3 separate regions of the Mus musculus genome follow, and all the other regions are reported to be linked to region 1. Evidence: microRNA targets listed by miRTarBase, many of them from high-throughput screens and not tested one by one. Region 1 holds a microRNA gene; each other region holds the end of a gene's coding sequence.
What was found. The annotated mature microRNA mmu-miR-26a-5p reads UUCAAGUAAUCCAGGAUAGGCU and lies in region 1 at 4,459-4,480, shown strand. An mRNA with a match to its seed (bases 2 to 7 or 8) in the 3' UTR can be bound and repressed. Matches are read on the target gene's strand: a 7mer-m8 pairs with bases 2 to 8, a 7mer-A1 pairs with bases 2 to 7 and ends in A, and an 8mer does both.

Region 1 (7,190 bases):
TGGGGAAGCGACACTGATCTGAATCATGGCTCCACTGACTCCAGGGGACCGAGTTGCTCTCCTGTGTCAGGAGAACGTAGGGCCTCAGAAGCTCATTTTGATGGCAGTGTGCTGGTGCTGGGTCACAGAACACCCGGCCTACCTTGAGATCCCCTTGAGACCTGCCATAGCATGAAGAACGAAGCCTGGGCAGCTCAGATCTCCCCCAACCAGAGAGTGGGGTTCACTGTGTCCTCATGCAAGGGTGTGTGCACGCGCTCCATTGTCAGTGTGTATGGCTCTTTAGCAGGTGTGTGCTCTATATATGGTGTGTGTCACTCTCAGAGGCTGTTCAGCAGGTGTGTGCTGTACCCCTGCAGAACCTAGACTTGAGAGCGTATGGACATGTGGAGACTGACAGTATCCCTGTAGCTAATGCCTCCATCTGTCCTTCCTTTCTTCTCTAGGCCTAGTCTCCAAGTCCTCGCCTAAGAAACCCCGTGGCCGCAGCATCTTCAAGGCCCTCTTGTGCTGTTTCCACACACAGCATGTTGTCCAGTCCAGCTCTTCCACTGAGCTCACACACAAGGAGGAGGCCAACACCATCGCCAAGGTAGCAGCAGGATGGGGTGTGGTGCATATTCTGGCTTGGGCTAGTGTCGTGAAAGTCCCTGGCCCAGGGGCCCTTAACTCTTTGCCCTTAGTAGTCTGTCTCCTTCTTGATACTTATCATCTGTGGGGATGGCTGTCCAGACACTGCAGATTCCATGGCTCCGGAAAGGTGCCCTGCAGATGTGGAAAGTGAACCGCTTGTTAATTGTTGATAGTGGTGGGGTTGGAACTCAATTATCTGGCTGTGAAGCCTGTGGTTTTTATTGTCTTGTTTCCAGAACTGCCTCTGAGCCATAAAACTGCCAGGCTCTGAATAACCCAGCATTCAGGAGGCAGGTGGATCCCTCTGAGTTTAAGGCCAGCAAGTGTCAGGCCAGCCAGAGCTATGTAGTGAAACCCTGTTTCAAAACAAAGACAGCAACAAACAAAGACCCTACTAGCAATTTGTTGTTATGCTACTATGAACCACTTGTAAGTCAAAAGCAAAATGTAAAATCATATATTACCCTGGGGAAATACTAGCCCATTTTTGAAAGGTACATGCTCAGATAACATCTTAGGTTTTTGTAAGTTCTGGAATTTTAGATTTTTTTTTCAAGTCTCACATTAGGACATTAGTACTTCTTACAACATTTTTGGTGTTGTCCCTTTGTGACTCCACCCCCCTTCATATTCATGGGCACCTCAGTGTTTCCCGAGAGGGCAAGAGGTTAGCCCTGCAGGGAGGAGCTCAGACCTCAGTCCCTGAGAGCCATGTGTGGAGAGGCGGCTTCCCCTCCTGACCAGCTCCTCAGGAAGGCCGTGCTTGTCCTGTGGGGAGCGGTGGGTGGCTGGGTTCTCGGAGAGCAGATCACAGGCAGTGTTTTGCTTAGAAAGGCTGTAGTTGATAAATTAACACTTACCACATCCTTTGTCTCCCACAGTCCGATCTCCTCCAGTGTCTCCAGTACCAGTTTTATCAGGTTCGTTGAGGTGGCTGACCCTGTAGGCCCTGACTAGCCTGGCAGGCAGGCAGAGCAGTTACTCTCCTGTCCTGAGCACCTCCCCACTCTTTGTGCTGAGTATTTGCCAGGGCCCTGTAAAACTTTCGGGACAGGCACACACCCTCTTCCCATCTCTGCTGTCTACTCCCTACCATCCCAGAATGACACCAAATGTTCCCACAGCCTTAGTAGTCTTTAGACCCCGCTGCCTCTGCTCTCTGCTTTTAAGCAGGACCTTCCTGTGTTGATGACTGTCTGCAGGCAGCTTGGCTCTTCCCAGTGTTGTGCTGAGGGGCGATTGGGCTTACTTCTTGTTGGGCACAGCTCAGCAGCTTGGCTCTGCTTTTAGATCCCTGGGACCTGCCTGCTCCCCGAGGTGACAGAGCAAGATCAAGGCAGGATCTGCGTGGTCATTGACCTGGATGAGACCCTTGTGCACAGTTCCTTTAAGGTGAGTCAGCGTGGTACCCTTCCCTTGGGCCTGTGTGAGCCGCACAGCAGGGTCAGTAAGGTGAGCAGATGAACGTGGAAATGACAGGGACAGGACAGGCTGTCGGCCACCCTGGAGTCACAGATACCCAGAGGCCAAACTGAAGAGGTTAAGGCACACACACACACACACACACACACACACACACACACACACACCCCACCCTAAATGCTGTGTCTGTCTCGACTTACCGTGGAAAAAGTAGGTAAGCATTATCTGGTTTTCCTGACTGGTGCGTTTGTTAACTCAAGAAAGCCTTAAGTTGGGTGCAGAGGGAACTTCCACAATCCCTGTGCTTGGGAAACTGAGGCAGGGAAATCACAAGTTCCAGAATAACATGAGTTACCCAGTAAGAGCCAGTCAGTCTTGAAAGAGCCAGGCATGCATGCTTGTGTGCATAGCTCACGGAAACAGGAGATGAACACGGCTAGCCCAAAGAGCCAGGCATGCATGCCTGTGTGCATAGCTCATGAGAGCAGGAGGTGAAGGCTAGCCCAGACTATGTAGCAAGACCCCATCTCAAAAGCCCTGAAACTTACCTCAGGTAGAATTTGGTGGGTAGGATGGATGGGTGGATGAAGGAGAAGGGAAACCGGAAAATATGTGATACTTTTTGCCCTGTGCTGGCTAAGAACTGCTCAGTGGGCTGTCTCCAGGGGGTAGGGTTTCCTGTCTGCTGACACTGTGCACTTCTGCCTTCTAGCCGATCAACAATGCTGACTTCATAGTGCCTGTAGAGATTGAGGGGACCACGCACCAGGTGAGCTGTTTGCCAGCATACACCCTGCCTCAAAGGGAAACTGCCTCTCAACCTGTTTATCATCAGCTTCCATGTTTGTTGATGGCTTGTCTCCAGATCATCCACACTTCCCTCTAGCCAACACTCCTGTCTCTATGTAGTCAGGCTGTTTGCAAGAACTGTTGGCTTTTTTAAAAATATTTTTAAAGAATTATTTGTTTTATGTATATGAGTACACTTAACTGTATTCAGACACACCAGAAGAGGGCATTGGATTCCATTAGAGATGGTTGTGAGCCACCATGTGGTTGCTGGGATTTGAACTCAGGACCTCAGAAGAGCAGTCAATGCTCTTAACCACTGAGCCATCTCTCCAGCCCAGGATAGGGTCTCTTTATTTAATTCTAGCTGACTTGGACCTCACAGAGGGCTGGAGTTAATTAAAGGCCTTCACCATTGTGTGCAGCCCCTGGCATTTTCACATCATAGTCCTAGCCATCACTGTGGCTTTTTAAATGTGCATTACTGGTTTTGCCTGCGTGTGTGTCTGTGTGAGGGTGTCGAATCCCCTGGAACCAGAGTTACAGTTGTGAGCTGCCAGGGGTTGCTGGGAATTGAACCCAGCTCCTCAATGAAGAGCATATGCTGTCCAGCCCATGCAGTCCATGCTTAGACCAGGCGAGCCTTGCTCTGTGTGCAGGGCTGTTAGGATTTGCTCCTGTGCCCTCTGGTGAAGAGCTACTGAATGTGTCTTCCCTGGCCCAGGCCCCTCCTATGACACCTTTCTGACCTCTACACTGGTTTCTGTAAGTGCTCCATATGCATCTGTCAGAGTGGCAGAGTCCAGGCTCTGCCGTGTACACCCTGCTGCCTAGGGTTAAGGACCACGAGGCATTGGTGAGAGACCATGTGCCCAGAGGCATGCTGGTCGGCCCAGGGGAGGGCCGGAGACAGTGATGCAGACATCCTAGCAAGCATGAGACCTGTTTTCAGACTGAGAAAGTTCAGCTTGAGACTGTCCTGGGTTTGTCATCGTAGCCCTCTGCCCCTTTACGAACTTCTGTACAGAGCCTCGAAGCTGTGGCTCTTTACTCCACCCATCACCCCCTGCTGTCTAGTTGAGGAAATAGAAATGTACAGAATGTATGGGGCTCTGGCATGGGCAGAAGGGGCCTGAGTGAGAGGGCTGCCTGCCATGTGGATCTGAGGAGAGCCTGGGAGGAGAGCAATGCTTGGTGAGGAAGGGGCTTGTTTGTGAGGCTTAAGAAGTGGAAGGTGATGGATAGATCCATTTGCAGCTGCATGGAGGGTTCTGCTGCTAAATGGGAGGGCTCTGCTCAGTTGGTGCTGATGTGGGCTAGGAGGGACTGGGGTGGGCACACCCCCTGTGCTGCTTTAAGGAAGTGAGTGAGTGGGCCTAAGGAACACTTGTGCAGGCTGAAGTAAGAAAGAAAGAAGAAGCAGCAGATCATAGACTGGGTGGCGAGTTAGTTGAAGAACCTTTAAAAGCGAGCAAGTCCTCGAAGCTGGTGGTGTGCACACAAACCTACGAGGGTGTGTGTTTGAAGAAGTTTGTGGTTCTTGCCAGATGGGACCTACACAAGCCGTCCTGCTGGAATCCCGTACAGAAGGCTACTGTGGAGGCTGCGGCTGGATTCAAGTAATCCAGGATAGGCTGTGTCCGTCCATGAGGCCTGTTCTTGATTACTTGTTTCTGGAGGCAGCGCATGGTCTGCCCTCAATGAAGATGGCTCCTGGGAGTGCATTCCTTCCTGCCGGGTTAGGGTTGGGCCTGTTGAGGCAGCAGAAGCCTGGTAACATGGTAGAGCTGTCCATGGTGGGGCAGAGGTCTCAGTGTCTCGACCTGGGTATCTAGGCCTGCTTGCTTTTCTGTCAGTGCACAGGCAGAGCCGGTGCTGTGTCCTTGGCCTTGTGGGGTTCCTACAGCAATCCACTCTGTCTCCCAGGTATATGTGCTCAAGAGGCCTTACGTCGATGAGTTCCTGAGACGGATGGGGGAGCTCTTCGAATGTGTTCTCTTCACTGCCAGCTTGGCCAAGGTACCTGACTGCAGGAGGGGCAGAAGGCAGGGGAGAGCCAGCCCTCAGCCTAGGCTAAAGCTTCTCCTTCTTTTCCAGTATGCTGACCCTGTGACTGATCTCCTGGACCGGTGCGGGGTGTTCCGGGCCCGCCTGTTCCGAGAGGCTTGTGTGTTCCACCAGGGCTGCTATGTCAAGGACCTCAGCCGCCTGGGAAGGGACCTGAGGAAAACTGTCATCCTGGACAACTCCCCTGCATCTTACATCTTCCACCCAGAAAATGCAGTGAGTGCTCGCATCAGGGACTGGGGTGGCTGCAGGCTGGGCCCGTGGGCTTTATCAGAGGAGTCCACAACCCCTGTGTGGCCCAGCAGCCTCCAATGGCACTGGAAAGGAAAGGAAATATCAGATAATGTCACTTTTTCCTGCCCCAGGTGCCTGTGCAGTCCTGGTTTGATGACATGGCAGATACAGAGTTGCTGAACCTGATTCCAGTCTTCGAGGAGCTAAGTGGAACTGATGATGTCTACACCAGCCTTGGGCAGCTGCGGGCCCCTTAGCCTTCCTGCTCCAAGAAACGGCCATCCCAACAGGGGACTCTGCTACACTGTGCCTTTGTGGTCAGCCTCACTGACGGGGTCTGCAAGTAGCCAGGGCGTGTGGGACAAAAGCAGGTCACACGCAGAGCAGGAAATCAGACCAAGACCCAGAGCTCTCTGCACCCCGTGCTCAGTTCCCAGGTGGTTGTGTGGGTGTGTGTGCGTGCATGTGCCCGTCCGGTAAACTATGGTCCTGGGTGCCCAGTTGTGCAGTAGGGGGAGAAGCTGAAAGATAAGGACTCAACCCAAGTCATTTGTCTTCTTTCCTGCTATGCTGTGAGCTACTGAGCTTTACAGCCATGAAAACTATTGTAGGCTCCCTCGCCAAACCATGGCTTTCCCTCAGCATCAAGACCTGTGCCAAGGAGAAGGGAGAGGCCGGAGGCTGCTTTGGATGCCCAGACACACATCTTTCAGAAAACACAGAAACCTAGCCAGCAGCTGCAGACATGTTTGGGAATATGAGAGCATGTTCGCAGACCCACCAGGTTCTGTGTCCTATGGGCTACACCTGGCTCCAGCAAGAATGCCTGCCATGGGCACTTCTCTGTACCCGGGCTCCAGTGCCAGGCCAGCCTCTCACTCCCAAGCCATAGTCCTACTCCCATGGGAAAGGAGGTCTTCTCTCTGCCCTGGAGGAGGACATATAGCTGATTTCTGTTCTTTTAACTCTTAAAAATCTCTTTCTAAACTTGGAGTGGTTTATATTCGCCCGAGCTCCAGTCCTGGGCCTGAGGTTTGTGTGGGAAGCGCTGGGGTACAAAGAAAATGCAAATGTTCAATGCAAGATGTCTGTCTCCTTGCGTGTAGATCCCAAAAGTGCTCTTCAGGGGTTCTGTGCTAGCTGATGCAAGGACATTAGCTCCAAAGGCTGGGGAGGGCTTGGCTCTCCCTCTGTGTCTTCCTGGTGTCCCGCCCTGGCCAGCTCTCGTCTGCTCTCGCCTTTATCCTTCTCGGCTGCTGCTCTTCCTCTCCAGAGCCTTGGGAGAAGGACTTTCCCCGGTTGTACTTAATTGATTGGTTGTCCCAAGTGTTGCTCTTACTTGATTTGCCAAATGCCTCCTGCTTCTCGTTATAGGACTGAGTGAGGTCCTCATAGCTCTGTGCTCTGGGCAGCTCTGAGCTCTCAGCCCTGTTGCTTTCAATGTCAGTCACAGAGTGGAAGTTTCCCCAAAGTGGAAAGCTACCATTGGGAACACAAGGGGCCCCTGAGGGGCCTCCACCTCACTGCCTTAAGTGAGTCCCGCCCACTCCCTGCCTCCCTCCGAGGTGGGCGGGAGTTCCTACCCCATCTCTGCTTCCCCTGGAGGCCGGCCAGCGTTTGTGGGTTGGTTCAGGTGTGGTACCTCCCACTCAGGAGTCAATATTTTCAAATTTTTCTAGTTTCCACACACGAGGTCCTGCCTGGGGTTTGAGAAAGCCTGGTGGAGGAGTGTGGTGGTGTGAGTGGAGACTGGCTGGCATTCCTCCAGCACTCTGCAGACTTCTTCCTGGGCCCGAGGCTATGGAGCCTTGGCTTTCACTTCTGTGACAAACACATGCCATTTCCCCAGCCTCATTTGCTGGTGTCTGTAGGGTCCTCCCAAGGTGAGCTGAGGGCTGCAGGTGCTAGCCAGGAACATGGGAGCTTGACTGTGGCTTCAGGTCCAGACCCTGATCTCACTGGCATCCCAATACTGCAGGAGGGGTCTTCTCACAAAGCTCTGAGGGCTGGTCTTGACTAAGCAATAAGAGCCTCAGAGTTGATTG
Region 2 (7,190 bases), not on the chromosome of region 1:
AAACCCTCAGCCATTCGCCTGGGTGGTGCACACCTCTGAACCTAGCACAGGGGAGGCAGAGGCAGGAAGACTAGAAATTGGAGAACACCCCAGATCACATAGCCAAAAACAAACCAAAAAAATTGAATTTTATAAACCTTTTTGATAAGTAAGATGCTTTCCCCTGGGTGTGGGCACAGTTGTGAGCCGCCTTGTAGGCTCTGGGACTCCAGCTCGGGTCCTCTGGATGGGCAGCTAGTGCCCTTAACACTGGACTACCACCACCTTCAACATGCACACACACGTGCCCGTATGCACATGCGCTCGCGCACACACACAAATGTATGCACACACATATCCACCTACACACAAGGCCACACTGGCCAAAAAGTGAACAGGCTTACCTGGAGAAATGGGATGCAAGAATATTCAGACCAGCCCTGGAGCTGGGTCTGGTGGCCCATGTCTCTCCTCCCAACTGTTCTGGAGTCTGAGACAGAAGAAGCATTGAAAGTTTGCTGTAAACTTCCACAAAATGAATTCAGGGCCAACCTAACAACTTAAACTCTTTCAAAACTGGGAAGTGGGCTGGTGAGATGGCTCAGTTGGTAAGAGTACCCGACTGCTCTTCCGAAGGTCTGGAGTTCAAATCCCAGCAACCACATGGTGGTTCACAACCATCCATAACGAGATCTGACTCCCTCTTCTGGAATGTCTGAAGACAGCTACAGTGTACTTACATATAATAAATAAATAAATCTTTAAAAAAAAAACTGGGAAGTAAAACAGTGCTTAGCGATATTGCTGGGCTGTGCAATGCTGACCTAGAATTCTCCACTTGGGAGCTGGGACACAGCTTAGCAGTAGAGCACTTGACTAGAATATTCCAGTGAATTCTGATTACCTGTCTGGTCCCTGAACCTAAGGTGGAAGGAGAATACTGACTCTTGAGAGTTGTGCTCTGTCCCAACCCAGGCCCTGCCATGGCCTGCTGCCATGTGTGGCTTTCTGCATGGCAAAAGTGGTTATGTCCATCCCAGGGAAGACCGTTGTTGGTTATAGCATTTGGCAAACCCTGCCGACTAAGCACATATTCGTTGTCGTGAGCCTTACATTATTCTTGAACACAGTCAAGGACACTTACGGCAGTCACGAGGTGGAGAGGATCACGTGCCGACAGTCTATTGGCACGTATGCACAAGGCTCTGTGTCACCTGTTTGGTTTTTGTTTCTAGGGACAGAAGCATCACCGTCTACTGTCCAAGAAGCAATACCGGACAAAGAGTAGAGCCAAGCCGACACCCCACACATCAGAATGTAAATCCTTGTTACCCTTCTGTGACACTCGCTCCCCACTGTGGCACATCAGGTCCTTGTAGGCCTCTCCAGTGACAAAAGCTGAAGGCCATCGGGTCTCCCCATGACACCACCTCCGTTTGCATGCATGATGGGCTCTTCCCCTATATCCCTGGCACACAGGCAGACCAGGGTCAGCCACGAGCAAGCTCAGGTCCACAGAAAAACAGCAACATGGCCACTTCCTCACAGGCCATGTCCGGCTTAGAGGGGCTTCTTGTCACTGGGAGCTTGGAGAGGGGACAGCTTACGTCTTTTCTTTTTCCCCCTCCTCAGTCCTTTGCATTTTGTCCTTTGCACAAACTTGTGAGCATCCAAACTCCGCTGGATTCCAACCCAGACTGATGTCCGACTCCACTGTTGGAAAGAACACGAAGGGACAGCTGGCCTCCACACTACACTTTTTGGCAGTTCGATGGGTCCTCTAACTGCATCTTAATAGGTGGTCGTTTGGGTCTTTTGGTTTCCCGTTTTTAAAGTTTCACACAACCAACTTTCCCAAAAAGGATTCCTCCCCCACCCAGCCTGACCCTGAGCTCTGAGCCTTCTGAGAGGAAGCCCCCCCACAGCGCCAGCACACCCCGGTGCGGCTCAGGCTACGCTTTGGTGCTCCAGCTCGGCAGTTCCGTCAGCCAAGGCTACTCCCCAGGATGACAGCTCTCCTTGGAAGGCTGAGGCTGAGCTAGTGCCTTTACTTTCTGACCTGGATGCCAGCCCAAGGCCTCTGTCCACCATCACAAGCCGGGGAGCACCAGAGTTGAAGACAAAGCAGATGGTGCCAGGGACCCAGCTGTTCAGGGGACGTTTTCTTAGGAGCTCCTGTCACCAGGCTCAACCCACCACCTGCAAGAATGGAGCCGGTGTGGAACAGCAACACTACATCCCCAGAGCGAACTTCCTGTGCCATGTCATTTGGGTCACCTCCTGTCAAACCTAGACAAGGCCCCAAGAGGGACAAATATAAAGGAACCGGAAGTGGTTCCTTCTCCGTCTGCCTGCTTCTGCATCCTACTGAACCAGAAAGCAATGGTTCCGTGTGCTACTTACCCAATAGGCCCACTGGATCAGGAAACGAGCTTGGCTCGGTTTAAGACTCTTTATATTTATTACTAACAATCTTTATGCAGCACATGCCCCAGAGATGCTTGGAGCAATCAGGACCAAGGGTAACTAAACAGGCGTGCCCTCCGCTATCAATCTCCACAGATCATCATAGAGCTAACGTGCCATCCCTGGGCATTTCCAGGCTTGGATTCCAAAGCAGGCAGGTTCCTTAAAGCACTGAGGAGCAGGGCAGAGGAGAAAGGGGACCACTGGCTCTAGCACAGTCCCCATCACCACCCACCCACTCTGGCTCCCATGCAGACAGGATGGGGACAGGGGGCACCACGCCTAGCCACAAGCAGGGACAGCACTTTGCAACTCCCTAATGGACCCCTGATCTAAGTGACCTTGTGGGCCAGGGGGGTGGTGGCTTCTTTATCTGTAGTAACACATAGGTGGCAGCCAGCAAGCACTTCTTTGAGCCTGTCCCCATGGGGCAGAGCTCAGCTTCGCTGGGTGATGGGTTGTGAGACTAGTGCTTGATCACTGTGAATCAACCTCCTCCTTCCTGCCCCACTCACCCCCACTCTGTCCCCGGTGGGCACTCCAAAACCTCCCAGAGACCCAGATGATGGCTGTGACATGTGACCTCCACACTGGGCTGAAGGAGTTTTCTGCAGTAGAAACGGGCCCATTCTGGTGCCAGAACAATGTTTTTTGGGTCCAAGGACCAGAACACTCGATGGATGAGTGGCATTGTTGGCTCATTTGTGCCAATGCAGCTGGTCCATGTGTTCACTGCCAGTCAGCTTTTCCTACGGTGGCCATAGAGTCCTTGTCTCTAGAGTCACTCTCATATGTCCCATTGAGATGACATCAAACACAGCAATAGATGGGGGTTTTCTGAATAAATGACGAACCCATATGAAAAGCCACTATCATTTTTAAAAAACCAATAAAATCTGCCTGGGGAGTGAAACAGTGAAAAGCCCCAGCTCGAGGTAAGGCAGCAGCACAGAAGGGTCCCTACCTGCTTCATGTCACATCGGGACTTTGTAATAGCTCGAGTCGGAAGCTGTCCTTCTACAGCCAGGCTGGCTAGCGCACACCTGTAACCTTGGCACTCAGCAGACCGAGGCAGGAAGATCCTGAATTTACATACCTTATCTCAAAAAACAAACAAACAAAAAAATTAAAACAGGTTATATATGTTTGTGTATAGAGATTTATATAACTGGCTTTTAGAGACAGGGTCTTACTGCATAGTCCTGGCTGGCCTCCAACTAGCTTTGTCCACCTTATTGTCCTGAGGTCACAGGGGTTCCCCTTCCTCTGTCTCCTAAATGCTGGGATCAAAGGTGTAAGCTATCTCACCCAGTTGAGACCATAATTTTTTTGGCTCTGCTACTACCTAAACGTGAGTCTTTAAACTGGTGGCTGGTCAAACCAAGCTGGAAATTCTTTTGTTTTTTCCTCTCACCAAAGCAGTTTTTATTTGAGGCAAGGAGAAGTCTGACCCATATGATTACAGTTCTAAGCACTCTTAAGTGTTAGTGGCATGACTTGGGCTATAAAACTTGCTTCTGTTTGGTTGGAAAGGGTATTCGTGATAAAGTCCTCCAGGTGGGTAAGAAGAAAGACCTCAGCTAGTGGTACTGCCCTCCAGATCCTACATCAAACTAACTAACTCTCACCATCTGGTTTGCAAGGTGCCACCCAGTGCAGAGGGACATGGGACACTTGCAAGGGCAGATGAGGCAGAAAGAACAGGTGCAAGTCACTTGAGGAGCAGCTCAAAAGGAACTTCACAGCCTTCCTCCCCACACCCCCAGGCTGCTTAGACTGAAGGCTGCTGCCTTGGGTGTAGCTAGATCCTCAAGGGAGCTGAGGGGCTGGAGAGGTAGCTCAGCAGTTAGTACTCCCCGCTCTTACAGAGGACCCCCAAATCAGCTCCCAGCACCCACATGTGACCACGACCGCCTTCAACTCCAGCCTCAAGGGATCCAATGGCATCTGCTGCATGCGTTCATGCAGAAGTGCCCACATACTTTTAGAGAAAATAACTCCTGAAAAAAAAAATAACTTTAAAGGCAGAAAATTGACAAAATAATGACTTAGGGTGGGGTGAGGAAGAAACTCAAATCCAGCTGTGACTTATATTTAGATAATGCAGTTTCCTGGTGCCTCCAAGGCTAAGCATAAGTGTGTGCATAGGAGATCTACTTCTGTGGGGTTAGGTCATAGCTCAAAAAGGAATTTAAATAGTTATGCCAGGTTTGTCAATGCACAACTATAATCCCAGCATTTGGGAATCCGAGGCAGGAGGAATGTGAGTTCAGGTCTAGCCTGGGCTATATACTAAGACCTTGTCTCAAAAACAAAGATCAGGCTCTAATTTAACTGGCTTATTGCAGTACTGTCCCCAGCACTATCCTCAGATTCCTGTTTTGCCCTGGGAGAATCAAACACATGCAGGGCACCCTGTCTCAGAACTGGTGTGGTAAGTCAGGGTCACAAGTGTTTATCATTCTGGTCACATTAGGGTGCTATGGCCTCTCATCATCGGAGGTATTGGTCCTCATCCTGTGTCTGGGGGAGTTTTTACTTCTTGGTCAGTGACTTAGTTGTAGAAGGGTCCCTGGCACTGTTTGACCCTGAATTTTAATGCTGACCAATGTGTTACTCCCGGTTGCCTTTCCATATCTCTGGAGACCTTGCTAGAAAAGCAAGTCTATGGGCGCAACATTAACCTGCCAATAAGAGTGGCCCTGCCCTCTGCCGTCTTGGATCATCTGTAGTAGCCTTCCAACCAGAGTGGGCTTTGCTTTCTCTCTCCCATCTTTGATCATCTTCCAAGTTGGCTTCCAACAAGGATGAGCTCTGCTCGGTCGATCTTCATCTTGGATCCCCTACATTGGCCTTCCAAAGAGAGGGGCTTTGCCCTCTTTCCACCTTTCAGGTTCTCAGAGACCACACTGTAACATTGGAAACTACCATGACAGCACTTGCCAGGCATTCACAGTGACGCAGAAGAGCTATTTGACTCCCAGGTCCAGCCCAAACCCACGACCAGCAAAGCAGTAATGGAGTGCTTCCCCTCCCAGGAGCCAGAGCCAGGAATGGTGGGTTAGACGTGACTGGATCCAGTTGTGAGGATAGAACCTTCCAGACATGTGTTTCAGGTGACCCTCAACTACCTCAGGTTTGAAGACCCTAAGTTAAACTTGATTACCACTCTAGGGACAAACCGAGGAATCTGGTTAAATCTTGGTGATAACCTAAATGTCTCAAGCTTATAACAAACTCTCAAACCGTGCAGGGATGGGGCTGATTTTTGTTTGTTTATGCCCGCCCCCTTCTGTTTCTAACCTTTTCCACTGTTTTCCATTAGAGTAGTCCCTATAAGTGAATTTCACTTCTCACAAGGTGCCTACCTTCCCAGAGCAGGTAGCCACTGGCTCTTGTTTCCTCCTCACAGGACTTTTATTATGGAATGAAGATCTTTCTTTGTATAATGCATTGCATCTGTGGTTTCAATTTTTTCCAATAAATATGTCAGCCTGGCTGTGGAGAACTCTGGTGATAAAGGGCTGATCAGAGTGCTCTTGAGGGTTGGGCTCCGGCTTCTTGTTTCCATTTTGATATACATGGGGTCAGAATGACACTTCACAATCCTTCACTCTGGTGCTGGGGTATCTGACAACCTCTTCTGACCTCAGGCTCCTGCATATATGTGGTATGCATACATATACTCAGGTGCACACATATACCCATAGGACATATACATTTACAGGGTCTCTCTGTGTGGCCCTGGATGTTCTGAAACTGGCTCTGTAAACCAGCTTGGCCTTGAACTCAGAGGTTCTCCTGCTTCTGCCTTCTCCTTTCTTTTTAGCAAATATTTAAAACAAAACAAAAAACAGAGGGGCTGGAGAGAAGGTTGGCACTTAAAACTTGCTGCTCTTCCTGTGGACCTGGATAGGTTCCCAGGACCCACAGCAGGCAGCTCCCACCTGCCTGTAAGGCCAGTTCCAGGGTCACTGAGACTAGCTTCTGTAGCTGCTTGCACACACTGGTGTATAGTCAGACGAGTATGTGCACACATTTAAAAATAACTAATTTTTATTTACTTAATTAGAGAAACATTGGTTTGTAAGCTGAAAGCGTAGCTCAATGGTGGAGCGCTTGCCTACCAAGCAGAGCTGTGGGTTCTGTTTGCAACATTGCAAACAATAGGGGTGTCGAGGAAGGAGGGCCATAGCAATGCAGACCTGTAACCCCGTCATTAGGAACCTTAGGCAGGAGGATTATACATCTGAGAGTAGTCTGGGCTGCACAGTGGTTCTCTGCTTTAGTATCCTAGAAAACGGGGTGTAGCACGGTTGGAACAGTGAGCGCCTAGCATGGGGCCAGGGGGTTTAGTGAAGAATGGCAAAAGTCCATGTTGGCTGAGAGGGATCAAAGTGCAGAAAAGATATCTGAAGGGGGCATTCATTGCATTGCCTTGCATCATCAGAGGTCACACAATCCCCAAGTGGCTGGCTGCACACTGAAAAGCCAGGGAACTCACTTGTTGCTCACATGCAAGAAGCCGGAAACCGGGCTGGTGAGATGGCTCAGTGGTTAAGAGCGCCGACTGCTCTTCCAAAGGTCCCGAGTTCAAATCCCAGCAACCACATGGTGGCTCACAACCATCCGTAATGAAATCTGATGCCCTCTTCTGGAGTATCTGAAGACAACTACAGTGTACTTACATTAAATAAATAAATATTAAAAAAAAAAAAAAAAAAAAAGAAGCCGGAAACCTCTTC
Region 3 (7,190 bases), not on the chromosome of region 1:
AAAAACTATGGGGCAGTCAGAAGAGCATCCATGCAAAATGGGCTAGCAGACTGAACTTCATTTTGAGCTGTGCTACAGTGTGGGGCTCTGTAGGGCTGTCAGGGAGTACTCTATCTAGCAGTGAGCTGAGGCTTGCTTCCGTTCTGCTTTCCCTTCCATGTGGATTTGATGCTTACCTTTGTCTTTGTACCTCTGATACCTGAGTACATTTTGATGGCAAGAGAATGAACATTGTCTGGATTCTGTGTGGTCGTCATGTTGCAGAGTGCCTGTTCTGTAAACGGGCTCAATGGCCTCCTGCCTGAGAAGTGCTGGTGCTCATGCATGACACAGGATGCTGCAAGTAGCAATGCACACAGCTGCTGTCGGGGGACATTGCTGCTTCTGTTTCCTGTGAAGTTTGTTTATGCTGTCTAAAAGGAATTGGAGCACTTAAAGAATGATCTGATTTCACTTATTCTTTTCCAGATGCTTCACAGCTTCATGGTAAAGGGCCTGTTGTACCGAGGAAATTGTGACCACTTTGGAGGATGGAACTGAATGACATAGGTCTAGGAGGAAGCCCAACATGTATGTCTCTGATAACAGACATTTGCTGTGCTCTTCATGCCCACTGCTTTTCTTCTGGAGCAGGCGTGAGTTTGAAATGGAGCACTTCTTAGCACTTCAGATGGGCCTCCAACCAAGGCAGCTTCTGCTGCTCACAAAGCGCTTACTGACCTGGTGCTCTAGGCCTCATGGCTTTGTCGCTGGACGACATCAAGGGGCAGCTCTGTGCTGGGAAGTGTACCTAGACTGTGTTGGGAAGTATAGTGTACATGTGTACCTGTGGCAGATCTGTTGGCCACTGGGTTCTAGATCTGCCTAACTCCTGGCATTTGGTGTGTCTCGGAGTTCCCTACTGGTCAGGGTCTCCTGGCCACAGTAGAATCCCTGGATGGTTGTGATTCCGTCCCATCCTCAGGCTGTGTACTCAAGAGGACAATACCCAGGCCAGAGCCGCATGTGGGGGACCTTGCAAAATACTAAGAACACATAATGTGTGCTCCTTGTAGGGGCCAGTTTCTCCTCAGAACATGACAATGAAGCTCTTATAGAGAAAAAGATCTTTATAGATTCAACAATCGTGGTAGGATTTTTAAAGACACCTATCTTGGGCTGTTTTCGTCATTACCATTGAATGCGTTGGATAGAATGGGACTGCTCTTCACACATCACATTATAGGAAGACTTAATTCCAGTGCCTTTTGGTGGAGCAGACTTTGACAACTCACACCTATCCATTCAGCCCACTGAATGGATCTGAGATGAAGATCTTTTTTTAAAGCTAGTCTGTATTTAAGACAGTTTTATTTAATTGGGTTTTTTAATGACTGCACACCATAACCTGTGCCGTCTTGACTTGAAAGTCATCTGAGCCCCCAAGCCCCCCCAAATCCCAGGTTCCCAGCTCTGATTTGTTTTTGTAGAGTTGATGCAGGTGGACTACAGTGGAGCCCCTCAGCCCTCTGTGTCTGAGAGCCCAGGGGTTCTAAGCTACAGGTAGACATTCCACTTTGTCTTACTCTTAGAAATCTCTCTCTGGCAGAGCTGTAGGACAGTTCTCTCTGAAGCATCTGCCACAGAGAACAGGTCTGGGGTGCTGGTGTCCTCTGCACAGCGAGCTTCTGTGTAGACTTAGGAGGGATGTCCAGAGGGTCTGGAGAGTAGACAGAGGACAGAGATAGTTGACTACAGAGCTTCCATCATCAGGCTGTCACACTTACCCAGTGGCTATTTCATATGGACTCGGAGGGCTGTTTCCTATCCTATAAATCTGCCTCGCAGTGGGTTTGGCTGACTGCCTAGCCAGACCACATTTGGGGAGGTGATCAGCACTCTCGGTATGCACCCTAGGGTGGGTCAAGTGTGCTTTTGGTTCCTGCCTCAAGGGTATGGAGCTCAGTAGCCCTCTATTCCTGTGGAGGTGGCCACCTTTCCACCTTACTGGGAGCAGGACCTTTGTCAGCTCTTTGGTCTGGCCTTTGCTCTGACTCCTTTTGTATGGAAGAACCAATTGTTTTCACATTGGCCATGTGGACTCCTTATCCTTTTATTACATATATTTTTTTGCAACTTGGATTTCCAGTTTGTTTACAGAATAGTCTTAGGTAGTAGCAAAAAGAGCCAAAGAAGAGATTTGTATAGCTGAGCTCTAAGCCAAGCTGAGGCCGCCAGCAAAGCTGAGCAGTGGGAACTCTCCAGGCTCCTCTGCCCGTCAGACAGCGGGCCCTAGCACCCCACCCCTTTGGTGCTCCCTCCTCCCCATGTGCCACTGCTTGTGCAGCTAGAGCAGGATGCCCTCATCTTTAGGAATCTAGTGATGCCTCTTGCCTCAGGGAAATGTTTCTTTGATGGGGAGTTTATGAGATTTCTTTTCCTTGTTTATGCTTTATTTGTGGTAATGAACGAGTGAATGACTTTAACAGCCATGGCCAGGGAGACCTATGGCCCGGCTTCAGCAGAGGGTGGAGGTAGAGCAAGCTCAGTGGGATGCAAGGGTTTCTTTGGTGGGTGCAAGGTTCTGAGACTTAACCAGGCGTGGCCGTTTCTTAGGTGTGAGAGGGGCTTTTGTGCCGCAACTATGTTGGTGTTAGGGGGTGGTGTGGAAATTGTTAATCTTGTATAAAGCAACTCAATAAATTGTTTTGAGGTTTCCAAGATGTCTTTCCTCATTTTTTCATTACTATTTTATTTGCAATATTTTATTTATTTTATTATTCTTCAGTACATAGGAGCCCTGGTGTTCATGGAATGCCCGCCCATTGTGGCTGAGAGCCAAGGTTCAGGCTCATATGTAAAGGAGTCATACTTGCTGTGAGTTAGAGTCAAGCCACCAGATTTTTATTTTCATGCCATAAAGTTCCCTATCACTTCCCATTTTCTTACATAATACATGAAATACAGAGAAGCAGAAATTTGTTTGGTGAACAATCAACTTTTGTATATCTAAATGCCAATGCGATAATGATGAAGACTTCTAAGGCACTGAAAGTAAGGCTAGCACACCATCCATTACTAAGATCTTTTCAGAACTAGCAAACTGTTGTTGGTGCCTGTCTTTCTGGCACATCCTGGCTAGTTATTCTAGCACCAAGAGCCAGGCATTGTGGATTCTGGACACATGTTCTAGTGTAGAGCCCTGTTCAATGAGAAAAGTCACTACTGAGCAGGCACTGTTGATAGTTTGATCCCAGTCAGAAAAATGGAATGGCAAGAAGGAAGGTCAGCAGCCCCAGTGGACCAGTCTTGTTGAGTTGAAAGAGGCAGAAAGGTTATTAAGTCATCAGAGGTGGGAGCAGGTCACTCACTCAGACTGGATGAGGCTGAGCTGAGAGATGCTACCCAGCTAGTGTCTGCTGGTATTACAGTAGCTGCACTGTAAGCAGCCTGATACAATGTGGATAAAACACTTAGCTCAGAAGTCTATATGAAGGCTCGGGAGCAGAAGACACCCAGGAAGTTGCTGAGAATGAGTTAACCATCTCCATCTTTAAGATAATCCAGCTCCAAGAAAAGCCAGGAAGAAGGGCTGGGCCTACTTCTGCCCAGACACCAAGACTGCCAGCTCCTGAATGGACATATCCTTGTTGACATAGCGGTCATATTGAGCAGCGGTTAGCCTGCCACTCTGAAGAGCGTCCTCAATGGAGAACTTCTTGCCTGACTTCCTGTCATGAATTACTGATGACTCCCCATTAGGACCTTTCACTGATATCTCCTCCCAGTCGCACTCCTGGCTTCTGAGCTTCACAAACATTTTCCAGTCGATAAGCCCAGCCCGGTGAGCCTCCTCTGGGGACAGCTCACGACCTGTGTCAGGGTCTATGACCACTATGGAGCGCCTCAGGTGGTTCTCCCTCTGCTCTCTCTTGACAGCCACAGAGCCCAGGCGCCTCTGTAGTTCATCGATCTCCAGATCCTTGTCCTTGGACATCTTCTTGAGGTCATCCAGTTCCTTCTCTAGGGACCACAGCCTAGAGTTTAGGTGGGTCCCAGAGTCTATCGTGGTTATGTTCTTCAGATCTCGAGTTTCTGTTGCTGCCATCTCAATCTCTGATTGGAGTCTCCGGGTCTCTAGCTGCAGGTTTTGCCGCTCTAGCTGTAGCTTGTGGTTTTCTTCTCTCAGGAAGTCCAGTTCCTTGGATGACTTGGAATTATAGAATTCTAGCTCAGATAACTTGGCTTCTAGCCGGGTCACCTCTGAATCCAGCTCCCTCTTGCTCTGGCTCTCCTCTTCCAGGCTCTTCTTGAGGCGCTGGATCTCTTGCTCAGTGTCACCTTTTTCTACCTGGACACTCTCAGAGAAGACCACCTTTTCTTTGATCTCTGCCTTCTCCAGGGCAGCCAACTTTCTACGCAGCGGCTCAAGCTCACCCTCCAGTAGCTGCCTCCGGTGCCGCTCTTCCTCCAGCTGGGCTCGGAGCAGGGCATGCTCCCTGGTCTGCTGTGGGTCCTGCTGCAGCACCACCTTTTGTGTGTGGGTCACCTTCTCACCAGTCTTGGCCTCCTCCTGCTCCAATGCAGCCAGCCGCTGTTGCAGCCTCTGTACCTCCAGCTCGGCTGCCCTACGTGCCTGCCTCTCCCGCTCCAGCTCCTCCAACTGCCTCTCCAGCTCTGCTCGGCGATGCTGTAACCGCCGTAGCTCCACATGCAGTTTATCAATCTGCCGCAGCTCAGCATCAATGCTGTTTGTGAAGGCAGTCACCTCAGCTCGCAAATCTGGCTCATCTTCATACTGTACTACCTCCTGGCGTACAACCCTTTCCTTCCCCTGTGCCAGCTCTTCCTCCTTGCGTTTGATCTTCTCTTCCTGGGATGCCCGCTCCCCTTCCAGGTCCACCTGTTTCTTCTGTTCTTCTGACAGCTGTATACGCAGAGACTCTACCTCCTTCTTGGTTTGGGGGTCTTCCTGGAACTGCAGGATCTCCTGGACTACCTCTCTAGTCTGCACCTGTGGCTTGGTGTCCTTAAGGGCCTGGATCTCCTGCTTCAGCTGGTAAATCTCTAGGTCACACCTTTCTATTAACCTGGTCTTGTCCATGATCTCCTCCCTGAGCCTCTGGAGTTCCTGCTCTGTCTCTGGGTCAGTTGTATATTTAATGACCTCTTTGGTCACCTCTTTGACTTCTACCTGTGGTCCACGGTTCCGTAGGGCCTCCAGCTCACTCTGGTAGCTCTTCAGCTGCTCCTCAGCACCCCTGAATTTGCGCTCCTGCTCCACCAGCTCCAGGCGGAGGTTGGCCACTTCACTCTCTGCCTTGGGATCTGGCCGCACGATCTCTCGGACCTTCTCCTGTACCACCACCTTAGCATTTTCCTCTTCCAGGGCCCATATCTTTCTGAGAAGTTCTGTCTTCTCCCGCTGGCCAGAGCGTGCCTTGGCAGCCTCGTCCTCATACTGGCGGGTGAGGTCATTGACTTCTCTCTCCACAGCTGCATCTTTCTCTACCTTGAGCACCTCTTTGACAGTGATCTTGCCTTCTGCCATGGCTCGTTCTTTCTCCAGTCTCCTGAGCTTAGCCTGTAGGAAACTCAGCTCCTCCTCCTGCTTCTCCCTGAGTGTGCCCTCCCGCTGGTGCTCCTCCTGCAGCCTCCGGTATTCTGCCTCCAGTTGGGGGTCATTCTGTAGCTTTACCACCTCTCTCTCAGTGACCTTTTCCTGCACCCTGCTCTTCTCAGCAGCCAGGGCTGCTACACGCTGCTGTAAGAGTAGCACTTCAGCCTCTCGGGCGCCTTTCTGGCGCCGCAGTGCCTCCAGCTCCTCCCGAAGCTGCAAGACCTCATCCTCCTGGGCTCTGTCTGGCTCAATGCGCAAGACCTCCTTGACCACATACTCCTGTCCCCCATCCCTGGTCTCCTGCTCTAGAGCCTGCAGCCGGAGCTGCAGTGCTCCCAGCTCCTCCTGCAATAGCTGGTTCTTGTGCTGTTCCTCAGCCAGCGTCTGCTGCAGCTGCTGGAAGCTCTCCTCCAGGGCAGGGTCTGGCACCTTCTTCAGCACCTCCTTCCTCACCAATGACTCCTGAGGCCCCTGATCCTTCAGGGTCTGGATTTCCTCCTGGGCACTCTTGACCTCATTTTCCAGCTGTTGCCTTCGCTCTATCTCCTCCTCCAGTTCCTTCTTAATCTTCCATGTTTCCTCCATGCCAGAGCTTAGCTTTCCCCCTTGTAGGGTCTCATGGGTCACTCCTGCTTCTGGTTGCTGTGGCAGAAAAGACAACGAATGCATGGTTAAGAAACAAACAGATGAGGTGGAGCCCAGGCAACCCTAGTGAAGGTTGTGGTAGACTTGGGCACGGGAGGACCTGGGCAAGCACAGGCAGCTGGGGAGGCAGCCATAAGCTGCCATCATTCTGCCGAGTGGTCCAAGATGGAAAGTTGGAAACCAATTACTAGCAAAGATGATTTAATATTTAATATCATGTCCAGAAAAACTAAACAACTTCCAGAGTCAGACAGGTGATTTGAACTGTGAACCCTGTACCACAACATGGGGCGCACTAGTTGGTTTTGTTCTGGGTGGTCTGTACCCTGCCCTTTTGGCTATACCCTGAATGGGGCCTTGCTGCCAGGTATGAATCAAGCTCACTGCCACAGAGAGGAAACATCTTCAATTACTGGATTTCAGCTTCTAAGCCTGTCTTTAGAAAAATGTTATTTCCTACTTTACTTGATCAGACTGTGTTTGCAGCATATCTTGGGTCTAGACAATATAAACTCCTCATAAAGGCCTTCAGTGTTACCTGAACCTGACTTAGAAATTCATTAATTTGAAGCAAATAAAATGGTGAGAGAGAGAGAGAGAGAGAGAGAGAAAAGAGAGAGAGAGAGAGAGAGAAGATAGATACAGGTCTGATCACCCAGACCAGGATGGGCTGATCTTCTGGGGTCTCCCTCCACTAATGCTCTAGGGTTACTTTTTAAAGCTTTTAAAAATTGAATAAGGCAAAATGTTTTGTAGGCACAGAGGAGTCTGAAGTGACACCAGTTTCCCATCTCTGCCCTGTCCCTAGGGGATGTCTGTTGTCCTTGGAGACATTTTTTTTTTTTTTTTTTTAGGTATATGTTTTGGTGAAGCACCAGGTGATTGCTTTTTCTATGCAAACAGTTGTTGTTTTGCAGTTTCTGACTGGAGGGGCAGAGTACCATCT

Region 2: miRTarBase lists Hip1 as a target of mmu-miR-26a-5p. The part of its 3' UTR that is shown has no 7-base or 8-base seed match.
Region 3: the mRNA of Ubn1 is a reported target of mmu-miR-26a-5p. Seed matches in the 3' UTR shown: 7mer-A1 at 1,401-1,407.

The regions. Positions count from the first base shown.
Region 1 is chr10:126,991,085-126,998,274 of GRCm38, forward strand. Mir26a-2 (microRNA 26a-2) reads left to right here and starts at 4,446; the gene lies at 4,446-4,529. Ctdsp2 (CTD (carboxy-terminal domain, RNA polymerase II, polypeptide A) small phosphatase 2) reads left to right here. Exons shown (of 8, transcript NM_001113470.1): 2 at 447-592; 3 at 1,515-1,553; 4 at 1,924-2,025; 5 at 2,768-2,824; 6 at 4,771-4,863; 7 at 4,942-5,127; 8 at 5,277-7,190. The coding sequence ends at 5,402.
Region 2 is chr5:135,405,294-135,412,483 of GRCm38, reverse strand. It overlaps Hip1 (huntingtin interacting protein 1), which reads left to right. Exons shown (of 31, transcript NM_146001.2): 31 at 1,215-5,966. The coding sequence ends at 1,267. Among named protein-coding and RNA genes, the nearest start is that of Pom121, 14 kb to the right of the region's middle.
Region 3 is chr16:5,083,588-5,090,777 of GRCm38, forward strand. It overlaps Ubn1 (ubinuclein 1), which reads left to right. Exons shown (of 19, transcript NM_026666.4): 19 at 469-2,702. The coding sequence ends at 518. It overlaps Ppl (periplakin), which reads right to left. Exons shown (of 22, transcript NM_008909.2): 22 at 2,704-6,241. The coding sequence ends at 3,578. It also overlaps the pseudogene Gm52254. Among named protein-coding and RNA genes, the nearest start is that of Gm23483, 26 kb to the left of the region's middle.